3 linked regions of the Coturnix japonica genome follow. The protein of the gene in region 2 purifies or fractionates together with the protein of the main gene of each other region. This does not show direct contact. Links are inferred from orthologs where the notes say so. Each region holds a gene or a part of one and is shown on either strand. Other genes may lie near its edges. The genes, in order: TMEM9B, H(+)/Cl(-) exchange transporter 5 and TMEM9.

Region 1 (3,747 bases), on a different chromosome or scaffold from region 2:
TGTAAAGGTTACGTCAATATGCTGCTCAAGTAGAGAAGAAAGCCAGTACGCTGCTTGGGTACAGCAGAATATCTGTTACTGTGAATATATCAAATAATATCAGCAAGGTTTTTTTTTCTCTAGTTCAGTTTCACATTGCTATGGAGGGTAAAAGCTCTCAGTTTGGATTATATGTTTCCTTGGACTGTGATTCCATGGCAGTTTAAGAGGAATACATGGAAAAGGTTGACCCTTTCCTAAAGGGTGTTCCCACTCAACAATAACAGCACCAATGAAGCTATTCTTCCTAGCAAATCAAGGCAAGCCAAAAGCACAGTTTCAGGTCAGCTTTCAGTTTATCCACCAAAGCAGACAGGGCACCTTCCCTCCCACTATGTCCTTGACTATTAAAGCAATCAGCCTCTAGACATGAAATATAAATGCATTTCTCTCAAAGTGGGTTATTTAACTGAATGTCATGTAGGTGCTTAGTCTTACACAGCACAATGCTTGCCTAGTGTGTTGTTTGTCAGGACTGAAGTGTCAGCAGTAGCTCCAAACTCTCAAATGGAAAACACATTTATTGGTGTTGGAGCACTGTCAGCTCACACTGATGTTATCAAAAGGCATTGTTTAGCAGTCTGTGAGGATGAAAAAGAAGGACCTCTCCAACAAAAGAACAGAAGTACCTAAATAAGAGTATCATAATGCAGGCTACAAGTTCAATATTAAAGATTAAGCTCAATATTAAAGATTTGGAGTCCAGATAAGGAGGCAGTAAGTGATCATACTGAACGTAACTCACTGATCTGACTCTTGCCTCAGAGCGACAGATGTAAATGCCCGAAGGGCAGAGCACATCACCCTGTTCTATACAATAACAGGTCACTGGCACAGATGCAGAAGCCCAAGTGTGACACTAAAATGGTCTACTTTGTTGCACATGACCAAGCAGTGAAGCCTTTTTAAAGTAGCAAGAAGGCAACTCAAACAAGAAGACCAAAACATTCCCAAGTGGTCTCACAAGAAACAACCCCAACAAAATAAGATTTAGGACCAGAAAATAGGTTTCTGAGATCCTGTAAGCACCATTTACCTGTCACCATGAAACGAGCCAAGACTACAAAGTTAATTTTTCCTTAAATCACTACCAATACGATTTAAAGTGAAACAAGGCCTTTTCTGGCAGTAGGGCACATGCTAAGCAATGTCCACTGAAAAAACCACACTTAATAGGCAGAGGAGTAATAGGCAACTAAGCCATTAACAGAGTCACTCTGAAATGCCAGCTGCAGCTGCAGTTCTCTCAGTATGTCTTACTACTGCATTGACTATGACTAATTTGTCACAGCAGGCCTAATCACATTAAGCTAACCACATGGGACAAAACAGTAATTTAGATTAGACACTACATTTTATGTTCATTAACACAGATTGAAATTTATGGTGTTGTTTCTCACAGCTCTTCTGTAAGTAAGTCAGTAAGTCAAGGCACAGCTCTTAATACACATCTGTATCACTAACTTCATTCCTCTAATTGTTTTGGTGGGATTACTAAGGGGTATGGATTATTCACAATCAAGCTGCTAGCCAGCTGCTATTCAACAGACCAAAAAGCCTACTAATAATTCTTGGTATATAAGGAAAAGAGTCGACATATCAAAACATATTTCACATTTTTATAGGTTGATCCACAAATTCCTGAGCACTTTGGATATCACAGCAACTCCAAAGCATGCTGCTTTAAATCAGTGCTATCTTCCTTTCTTCCCCAGCTGCTCATCCCTGCCCACATACACTGGTCCTCAGCTCAGTTTAAATCTGACAGATGCCATGGGTAGGTCCAAGCAAAACAACACAGTACGTGGCTGAGACACAGGTTTCTCTATACACAGGAGAGAGAATGTGCTGCTAACTATACTGCATTCTCTGACTGTGATTTTTGAGGAACAAACCTCCAAAACAATCTCTGAACAACAGGACTGGTTTTGAGAGCAGAGAAGTAGGAGAAAACAATCCCTATCCTAGATTAACAGATACACTACTTCACCATGATACCACTTGTGGTCACTGAATTCAAATTACAACACCCCTTTCCTTCTACTACCTCCAAGCCTTATGCAACAGGAACTAAAAACAGGCAAACAAAGCAATCCAAAATAGAAGATGGAGAAACATTAAGGGTGAAAACCCTCATCTCTTCAATTCTGAAATGCTTTTAGAAGCGAAGGCGCAATGAGATGTAGCAGAGATGTTTTTGTCATCGCCACAGAACGCTGACAGACAGTCACGCTGTTTGTAACTCCCCACGATAAACTCACCAGTCCTTCTGCGAGACGTTCTTATTGTAGATGTGGCCCGAGTGGTCTTTGTAAGGAGGGCAAATGCATTTACATCGGACGTCCTCGGAATTCTGCAAAGCAAACAACACGCTGAGCCGGGACACGGAGCGCACACACACAGTATGTCAGACCCCAAGAACTGACAACAAACCACCTTCATCTCAAGAGCTCAAAGCAATTACCGGGATAAATACACAAACAGCACTACTCACCTTAGCCTGTGCGCCCAGCCCCGCCAGAACAGCCAGCAGCCCGCAGAGGCACAGCCAGCCCCCGAGGCCGGCCGCCATGTCGGTCCGGGGCTTCTCCTGCTAAAGCACCGCCTAACAACACAACACCGCCTAATTAACAACACTACCGTGCCGCCGCCATCACTTCCACCTTCCTCCCGTTCTCTTCCGGTGATGTCCGCTCCTCATTGAGGTCCGCGGGGAACTGCGACAGCGCCACGAGGTTCCGGGCGGAGAGGGACTAATATCGCGTTAAATAAACGGTGTTTGTTTTAACCGTGGTTTTGTTAAGAGGAAATACAGCCGGCGTTAAGAAGCATACGCGGTTTAACGAGTTAGTAACAAACAAAAATAAGTATGAAATAGAAGCTGGGTCTCATTTGAAACCATGAATAAACCCTCTCCAAGTGCTTGGGAGTGTAAATATAATGTCTGTGTCTGCTCAAGGTCTGCCCACGGCCGCCCCCTGCTTTCATATGCACTGTAGAATATCCTCATCGCACGGTAATGCAGCTGGACACACAGCAATGCTTGGGGTTTCGTTTTGCTTTATTAAATAAAGAACAGCAACAACAACATGTAGAATATCCTCATCACACGGTAATGCAGCTGGACACATGGCAATGCTTGGGGTTTCGTTTTGCTTTATTAAATAAAAAACAGCAACAACAACATGGTGTCCCAGGGCGAGTGAGCCAGCCTGGATCCATCCCGTGCCTGCCCCATGCCTGTCCCATGGGGAGACGTGTCTGGCACAGTACCATGCACCTGGAGGTCAGGGCTGTCATGGGGTGTGATAACAGAACAGCTCTTCTGGTAGCTGTATTTCAGCTTTCCATGCTTTTCTCCTCCATACTCCTATGCTGGTCCTAGCAGGGGTTCCTGCATCATGCCACTTGTTACTTAAGGTGGTGGAGATGGCTGGGTTGCTGGGTTTTTTTGCCTCTAAGATGGCAGAAGTCACAGGGGTACACATGCCCTGCTACCTAAAATGGCGGAGGTAGCAAGGATGTTTGGCTCCTATGTTGCATAAGAGCAGAAGTGGCAGGGTTTGCTGTGTTGTCCCTATAGTTGTTTAAGATGGCGGAAGTAGCAGGGGTTGGTTCCTCTTTTTACATAAGGATTGGTGACCCTTGCTACTTAAGTAGTGGACTTGGCAGGAGTTGGTGCCCTCTACTTGAGGTGGCAGAAATGGC
Region 2 (3,747 bases):
AAAGTGGAGAGATGCATGGTATTACCTCCCATTTCTCTGTCGAGTGGTGGATCATCATCTGCCATAGAGAAGTCCAGAGATGCTCCTGCTATTTCTAGCATATCTTCATCACTAGTGCTGCTTTGGAAACTCCCTCGTCGATAGCCTTTCTGATCCATGGCCAGAGCTTCCAAACCTGGGAGCAAATGGAAAGGTTTAAGAGTAGAAATGTTTTTAGAGTAGAAATGTGAAGACATTTTATAAACTAACTGGGCAAGTGTCCCCTGGACATTTTGTCCCAAAACGTCAAAAGAGGCAGCATTGCTCTTGCCATCAGAAGTGAAGACACACAGCAGTATTAAGACACCTGTGGCCTTAAAAGGTAACAAGTTTAGAAAGCTATACACACCCACTTGCATACTCCCAGCACCAAAGCACGGCTGCCCTTGTGCTGGGACCACGCTTGACTTGCAGATAGCCTGTGCAAGCACACCAGTTCTCCAGCCTTGAAGGATGGCAGCACACATGACAGACCCAGCATACAAGAAGAAAGGATCCGAAACACGGAGCCACTGCTGCTGCTGGGCTCTCTGACCTAGACAGCAAACCACAATACAACTTCACAAATATTCTTAATCAAGTATCCCTAACCCATTGCCTGACCTGGCCATCTCGAGGAGATGCTGGCAGCAGGCCATGACACAAGGCCTGTCTTCTTCCCAGAGAAGTGTGGGTGCCCCATACCTGGAGGTGCTTAAGGCCAGGCTGGAGGGGGCCCTGGGCAGCCTAACCTAGTTCTTGATTTAGTCAGGCTGGACCACTTCCCATACAAAACCATGACAACAACCCATTCTGTGATTCTGTGACTGCCTAGGATGGCAAGGAGACTGTGAGAGCACAACAGGATCTAAACATTTAATAATAGCCTAGGTTGGAAGTAAAAAAAAAAAATAATAAAAAAAAAAATAAATATATATATATATATATATATATATATATATATATAAAATCAGGTCTCAGCCTCAAAAACAGCCCATGGAACACGAAAATAGAAAGCTTTACATCTCAATGAGACGATAGGCCATGTTTGCTTTTCTCTTGTATACGTACAAGGGAACTAGAGAGGAACCAAATCTGCAGCTCAGCCTTATTTCAGGAAGGGAAGAAGGCAGCATGTGCAAACAGTCTGAATTACACAGTCTGCAAAAAGCACTTCCTATGAACAAAAAAGCACCACTCCAAAAAAAAATGTTGGCATTGCACAGTGAAATGACACACTGAGCTCTTTACTGAGCCTTACACTGTAGAAAAGAGTGTTGCTTAATTTTTAAGCCCTGTTTACTCACTAAACTGGTGCAGAACACACCAGTAAAGAAAATGCTCAGCACTTGCTGCTGGGAACTCACTGTCCAGGAAGGCACATGAGCTGCTGGACTCTGCTCTGCCAGAACTGATGCTTTTAACACATTCCAAAAGCACAAAGGCAAATCAGGTTAAACCTCAATCAGTGCGCACACAAAACTAATGGTGCCTTACTTTTTTTTTTTTGGAGCTCAAGGCTATTCTTTGCCAGCTAACAATAAAATCAGGTTTCACTGAAGTGCAATGCTGTCCCTCAGCTAATCTGCTCCCTGCAGTAAATGGGGCAGGGCCAGCAAGACCCATCCCAGCAGAGAGCTAAGAAACTATGCTTTGCATCACAGGGTTAACACACAACAGAACAGTCTAATAGGTATTTTCCAGTCAGACTGCGTGTAAGCTTATGTGTGTGAAAGGAGGGTTAAAAGAGGTCTATATTCATGTATTCTCTCTGCACTAAAAGCGTGAATCCCCAGCCCTGATAAAGCTGCCTCCCTTAGCAGACAAGAGGGCACACAGCTGCCAGCACACACTGCCTGTTCCAAAGGGAGGAAACTGGAGCAGTGTCAGCTCCTGCTCCTTATCCCTAACTTCGTTGTCACTCACAACAAAACCAAAAAGCAAACCACTCTCCAGTGCTTGCAGATACTGGGTAAGCATCTAGCATCCATACAGCTGGACACAAGATAATTCAGTGCCCCTCTTCTTTCATAAGTCCTATATCAGTCTTGAGAGATACAGCTTTAAACCAATTTTTTTTAAACAATAATATCCCCTCTATGAGCAAAAAATACATTTCCAGTCTAAATCACGCATACAGAAACACAGTGACTGTTCTCATGCTTATCTCATGGTTAATGTATCACAATACTTTTGCTTCTTTCCTATCAGACCACGCAGCAGGGTGCTGGCATGGTCTGCACGCTCTCTATAACCCTCCCATGGTAATGATACATACCAAAGGGCTGCGGGCTCTCCCAGCGCTCCAGTGAGTACCAAGCCATCCTTCTGGAGCTGCTCCTGTTAACTTCTACTTCTTTTTCAGCCTGACATTTCTTTCCATCTCAGTGGGGCAAAAGGGAAGCAACAAAACAGAACCTGAAGAAGCCAGCCCTGTGATGCCTGGATGTGACTCAGCAACAACAATCAGGAAGCCCAGAGTACCCCATTGCCATTCTGGCTGAAAAAAAACCCGCCTCTAGTCTCTGTTACAACATTGGCTCCGTCACTTGCAACACTTAAATCAGCACCAGATATTTCAGGCTTTTCTCCCCATTTCATGCTCCGACACCATCTCCTGTATCCTGCAAACCTGTTCTCCTCCTTGTCGGACTGTCTTGATGTTCTCTCAGCTCTGAAACGATTTCCCCTTCCCTTCCCACACACACCAGCCTGACGATACAGAAGGGCTGCAAAGCTAAGCAGGGGGCCTGGAGCAGCTCTTCAGGAATGCAAACCTGAGGCTTTCGAAGTTGGAACATGCTAAAAGTTTCCAAAACACTTTTTCCTCCTCATCTGATACGGGGCTTGGCTCCAACTCCACCACCAGCACAAAGACATTATGCTCTTTAAAAAGAGCATGGAGTAATTCTGATCAGCTGCTTCTATGAGTCATTCTTCCTGTGGGGAAGGAGCAAGTTTACCACCTAGCGGCTACTTAAATTAGAGAAACACAAGGGCCAGACCACAAGGCTACTTTTTTCAGAGATTAGCAAATCAAAGTCAAGCTTTGAAGTTCACGGCACTTCTTCTTCCCCTCTCCCACTTTGGTTTTTCATCCCAAGCCCCACATTCTCCCCACATTATCTCTGCATAAAGATGCACACATCCCTCTGCTCAACAAGACCCACAAGTAAAAAACCACAGCAGAAGGCAAGGGGAGCCAGCAGCTCCAGAGCAGAGGAGCCTATAACATGAGCAGAACAACAACGCATTGGTCAACTCAGTCAATTGTTTGGGACTTCCTCATATCACAGTTCATGAAGCGTAAACCTGGGAGACCCAGGTTCCCATGTGCAGGCTGTGAGTTACAGGAGGAAGCCAGCACAGCTTGCAGGGAGCACTGCTGGGTCACCCCCACAGGCCAGGCAGCACCAACCCAGCCTTGCCAGCAGATCCTCAGCCCCAATGGGATGGTGCTGTGGCACATGCACTGACTGCGTGCTTTTCAGACAGAGGAAAGGGGTGGGTGGTTTGTTTTTTCTCCAATTTTAACAAAGGATCAGAAGAAAAAAATTGATCTTAACAAACTAATTGTAATTTCTTCTTTAACAGCTAAGCATCAAAAGACCACGCATACAGAAGACCTCCATGTGTGCCTCTCACACAGTTAACCAGGGTCCAACTGCTAAGAAAAGACAATGCCAGGTGAGAGCCGCAGCACAACAGACTGCTGCTGTAACGCAGCCT
Region 3 (3,747 bases), on a different chromosome or scaffold from region 2:
GCAGAAGCACAAGGAGACAGCATTAGTGAGTTAAAACACACGGGTACAGCTCTGCTGCCCTCACACATAAGGCTGTGGCAGCAGAACATTCCCAAAGAGAGAGATGACTTCACATCACATCTCTTATTTCTCTTATTTCTTCTCTCCAGAGATCAGGTTCTCCTCAGATGTATTGCAAAGCACAGACTTGAGGCCTCCATCACATACATTCACAGCCCTTCATGTTACAGATACACATGTGTGCACTGACCTGCTGCAGCTCTTTTTCCTTTTTCATATTTCTGTTGAAAAACAGTTGCTTCTCTGCCATTTCTGTGCCCGTTGTACCACACTCAGTGTGTCTGAAGTTGTTCACTCACCTTGCCAGCCTGTGCTGGAGGAGAAAGGACGCAGCTCAGCAGTGCAATCAGCAGCATGGAGCTTGCACACTTCCAGGTGCATTGGACAAACATTGTGGAAGCCTGAGGAAACAGAAATTCCCATAAAGGAACCTTCTTAATTAAATAACTTAACGTTATTTCCCCCAAGAAATGGAAGTTTCTCCCTGTATCGAGGTGCCAACCTGAAACTCTTGGAAACCCAACTCACAGACCCCAAAATGTCCCCATCCAAAGAGCTTGGGGCATGGAGACATTCACCCCAACTAAACACTGTTCACTGAGCCCTGAAGCCACACATCACTCCTGGTGCCACACTCAGCATCACAGTGCTCTGAAGTAGGTGTTGTGATGCTGATTTTGCTACAGAAGTGTGGATGAAGTCACTGCAGAGAGCTGTTTTTGCACAAATCCAAAGCAACGGGAGCTCTCTTTGCACACTGAAGCTCTGCCAGATGTGAGCTCTTTGCACACTGAAGCTCTGACAGATGCAAGCTCTCTTTGCACACTGAAGCTGACAGATGTGAGCTCTTTGCACACCAAGGCTCTGACAGATGCGAGCTCTTTGCACACTGAAGCTCTGACAAATATGAACTCTACACACTGGTGCTCTGACAGATGTGAGCTCTTTGCACACTGAAGCTGGCAGATGTGAGCTTTCTTAGCACACCAGTGCTCTGACAGACGAGCTCTCTTTACACACCAAGACTCTGGCAGATGTGAGCTCTCTTTGCACACGGAGGCTGACAGATGTGAGCTCTTTGCACACCAAGGCTGTCAGACATGAGCTCTTTGCACATTGAAGCTCTGACAGACATGAGCTCTCTTTGCACACCTGTGCTCTGACAGATGTGAGCTCTTTACACACTCAGGCTCTGTCAGATGTGAGCTCTTTGCACACTGAAGCTCTGACAGACATGAGCTCTCTGCAAACTGAGGCTCTGGCAGATGTGATCTCTTTGCACACCAGTGCTCTGACAGATGCAAGCTCTCTTTGCACACTGAGGCTGACAGATGTGAGCTCTCTGCACAGCAAAGCTCTGACAGACTTGAGTTCTTTGCACACTGAAGCTCTGACAAATATGAGCTGTCTTTACACACTGGTGCTCTGACAGATGTGATCTCTTTGCACACTGAGGCTCTGTCAGATGTGAGCTCTCTTTGCACACTGAGGCTGGCAGATGTGAGCTCTTTGCACACCAAGGCTCTGTCAGATGTGAGCTTTCTTAGCACACACAGGCTCTGACAGATGTGAGCTCTCTTTGCACACTGAGGCTGTCAGACATGAGCTCTTTGCACACTGAAGCTCTGACAAATATGAGCTCTCTACACACTGGTGCTCTGACAGATGTGATCTCTTTGCACACTGAGGCTGACAGATGTGAGCTCTCTGCACAACAGGGCTCTGTCAGACTCGAGCTCTTTGCACACTGAAGCTCTGTCAGACTTGAGCTCTCTTTACACACTCAGGCTCCAACAGACCCCCGTTACCACACCTCGATCCCACACCTCGCCCCAGCTCCTCCGGTTCTCACAGCCATTTACACCCCCTTAAATCCACACCTCTCCCCTCTTCACCTTATTCCAACGCTCCACAGCAGCCGGGCCGACATCCCGTCAGGTTTACACAGAGATTACGAGCATCACATCCGATCCACCCCCCACCCCCAACGCTCCGCTCCTTACAGCACAGCCCCAGGCCGTCTTCCCGGTATTCCTCCTCTCCGTTCATCCAGGCTGCAGCCCGCCCATCTATGAGGCCCAGCGTCCCGCTGAAGGAGCCGTGTAACACCGCCCCCCCCCCCCTCCGCCCAGGCCGCCCCCCGCCGCCGCTCTGGGCCTTACCTGCCGCTTGACGCCGGCGCCCCTGCAAGCCCCACCCCAGCCCTGCGCCCATTGGTTGCAGCGTGACGGGCAGAGCGCTCGGCCAATCGGAAAGCAGAGAGGCCTACCGTGCTCTAATAAGATGGGCCGCGCCTGTGCTGCACCTCAGTGTGAGGTGGGGGGTCGTGGGGTTCGGTGTTTAGATATGACGTGTAGCTGTGGGTCTGCGTGCCCGCTTTCTGTATTGAGGGTAAAGCGCTGTCACAGCACTGCAGTAACGGATTGGGTTGGGCTGCTTTACCGTTATAAGTCACATTTAGCACTCTCTGGTTCTGTGTTAGAAGCCTCAGGCCTACGGCTGCGCTGAGGGCAACGCTGTGCTTCCCACAGCTGCGGCCTTGTCTTCAGAGGGAGCGTTCAGTGGGCCTGGCTTTGCGGCCTGCTGCTGGGGGAGATGGGGCCCCCTGGGCTGAGTGGATCTCTGGGTCCCTCTGGGGCTGTGTGGGTCTCTGGGGTTTGCTGTTTGAAAATGGAAATCAGGAGGCTGTGGTGAGATACATTCAACTGGAAGCATGTGTAAATCAGGGGATGCCCCTCTGGTGTGATGTGGTACGCAGCTGAGAGGAGATTTGCTGCTATGAGCAAGCTGAGACTGTTTGAAGGTTTGTACAGTTGTGGAGGTTGTCAGTTCTGCAGTGCACCCAGGTGTGGGAATTCCTGATGTAAGAGTGTTTTCTCCCCCAGCTCTGCCATGCATAAGGTGCTGGCCCAGCACGCTGTGTTCCCCACACACTCAGCTGGAGTCCATTAGAGGGTCACGGCCTGCTCCAGCTGGATTGACCCAAGGAAATGTTCCAGATGAATCATCCTGGCAATCAGGTGCACAAGGGACTTCTAATTCCTTCCTCCTACTCCAGTGCTGCCAAGCGGAAGCACTGCTGTGCTGCAACTTGCTGCTCTTACTTCTGAGCACGACCTCAGCCCTGGCTGTGGGATGCTACCAATGTTGTGAAATTGCTGAGTTTTTATCATGACCACAGGGCTCTTATGTTGCCAACTTGCCCAGCACAACTGGTAAGGAGGTATTTTTATCTGCTCTGACGTTTTTATTGTCACAGTAATCTATCCTTCTTTGTTTTTTTTCTGCAGTATAACTATATATACCAGTGCTTCTTGTGGGACTGGAATAAGCTGGATGTGTGCTTACAGGACACAGCTTCACCTAGTGACAAGATGCTGAGCAGTCCTCCTGGAGTGAGTAAATAAATGACCCAAGCAGCTCCAACGCTGGATGCAGGTTTCAGTCTTTCAGGTGAGTACCTCAGAGACAAGTCTGCCAAATACCTGATGAGCTTGGAAGTTTCCAGTCCCTCTTTCTGAAGGTTGTTTTCGTGTGTGTGCATTGACTTGTGTTCTGTGGTGTAGGGGAGGATGCTTTCTTTGTAGCAATGGGGGGGGGACCACACAGCACATCCAGGAGATCATTTTCTGCTCCTTTCCTTGCTGGGTTTTTCCTTAGTGTCTGTCCCATGTAGCTCAGACAGTG

The links.
Region 1: the proteins of H(+)/Cl(-) exchange transporter 5 (region 2) and TMEM9B purify together in Homo sapiens (co-immunoprecipitation; 3 studies listed by BioGRID and IntAct, counting the BioPlex papers as one, with this or other methods). This does not show direct contact. The link is inferred for Coturnix japonica from reciprocal best matches to the Homo sapiens genes CLCN5 and TMEM9B.
Region 3: the proteins of H(+)/Cl(-) exchange transporter 5 (region 2) and TMEM9 purify together in Homo sapiens (co-immunoprecipitation; 3 studies listed by BioGRID and IntAct, with this or other methods). This does not show direct contact. The link is inferred for Coturnix japonica from reciprocal best matches to the Homo sapiens genes CLCN5 and TMEM9.

Annotation. Positions count from the first base shown.
Region 1 is NC_029520.1:13,762,033-13,765,779, reverse strand, and holds the start of TMEM9B (transmembrane protein 9B), read right to left. Parts: upstream 2,737-3,747; 5' UTR 2,612-2,736; coding exon 2,534-2,611; intron 2,393-2,533; coding exon 2,301-2,392; intron 1-2,300. UniProt on the Homo sapiens protein: Enhances production of pro-inflammatory cytokines induced by TNF, IL1B, and TLR ligands. Has a role in TNF activation of both the NF-kappaB and MAPK pathways.
Region 2 is NC_029519.1:9,198,642-9,202,388, reverse strand, and holds the start of H(+)/Cl(-) exchange transporter 5, read right to left. Parts: upstream 2,759-3,747; 5' UTR 2,343-2,758; coding exon 2,297-2,342; intron 176-2,296; coding exon 26-175; intron 1-25. UniProt on the Homo sapiens protein: Proton-coupled chloride transporter. Functions as antiport system and exchanges chloride ions against protons. Important for normal acidification of the endosome lumen. May play an important role in renal tubular function.
Region 3 is NC_029541.1:1,280,016-1,283,762, reverse strand, and holds the start of TMEM9 (transmembrane protein 9), read right to left. Parts: upstream 2,299-3,747; 5' UTR 2,223-2,298; intron 2,194-2,222; exon of another isoform or gene 1,956-2,193; intron 462-1,955; 5' UTR 453-461; coding exon 360-452; intron 1-359. UniProt on the Homo sapiens protein: Transmembrane protein that binds to and facilitates the assembly of lysosomal proton-transporting V-type ATPase (v-ATPase), resulting in enhanced lysosomal acidification and trafficking.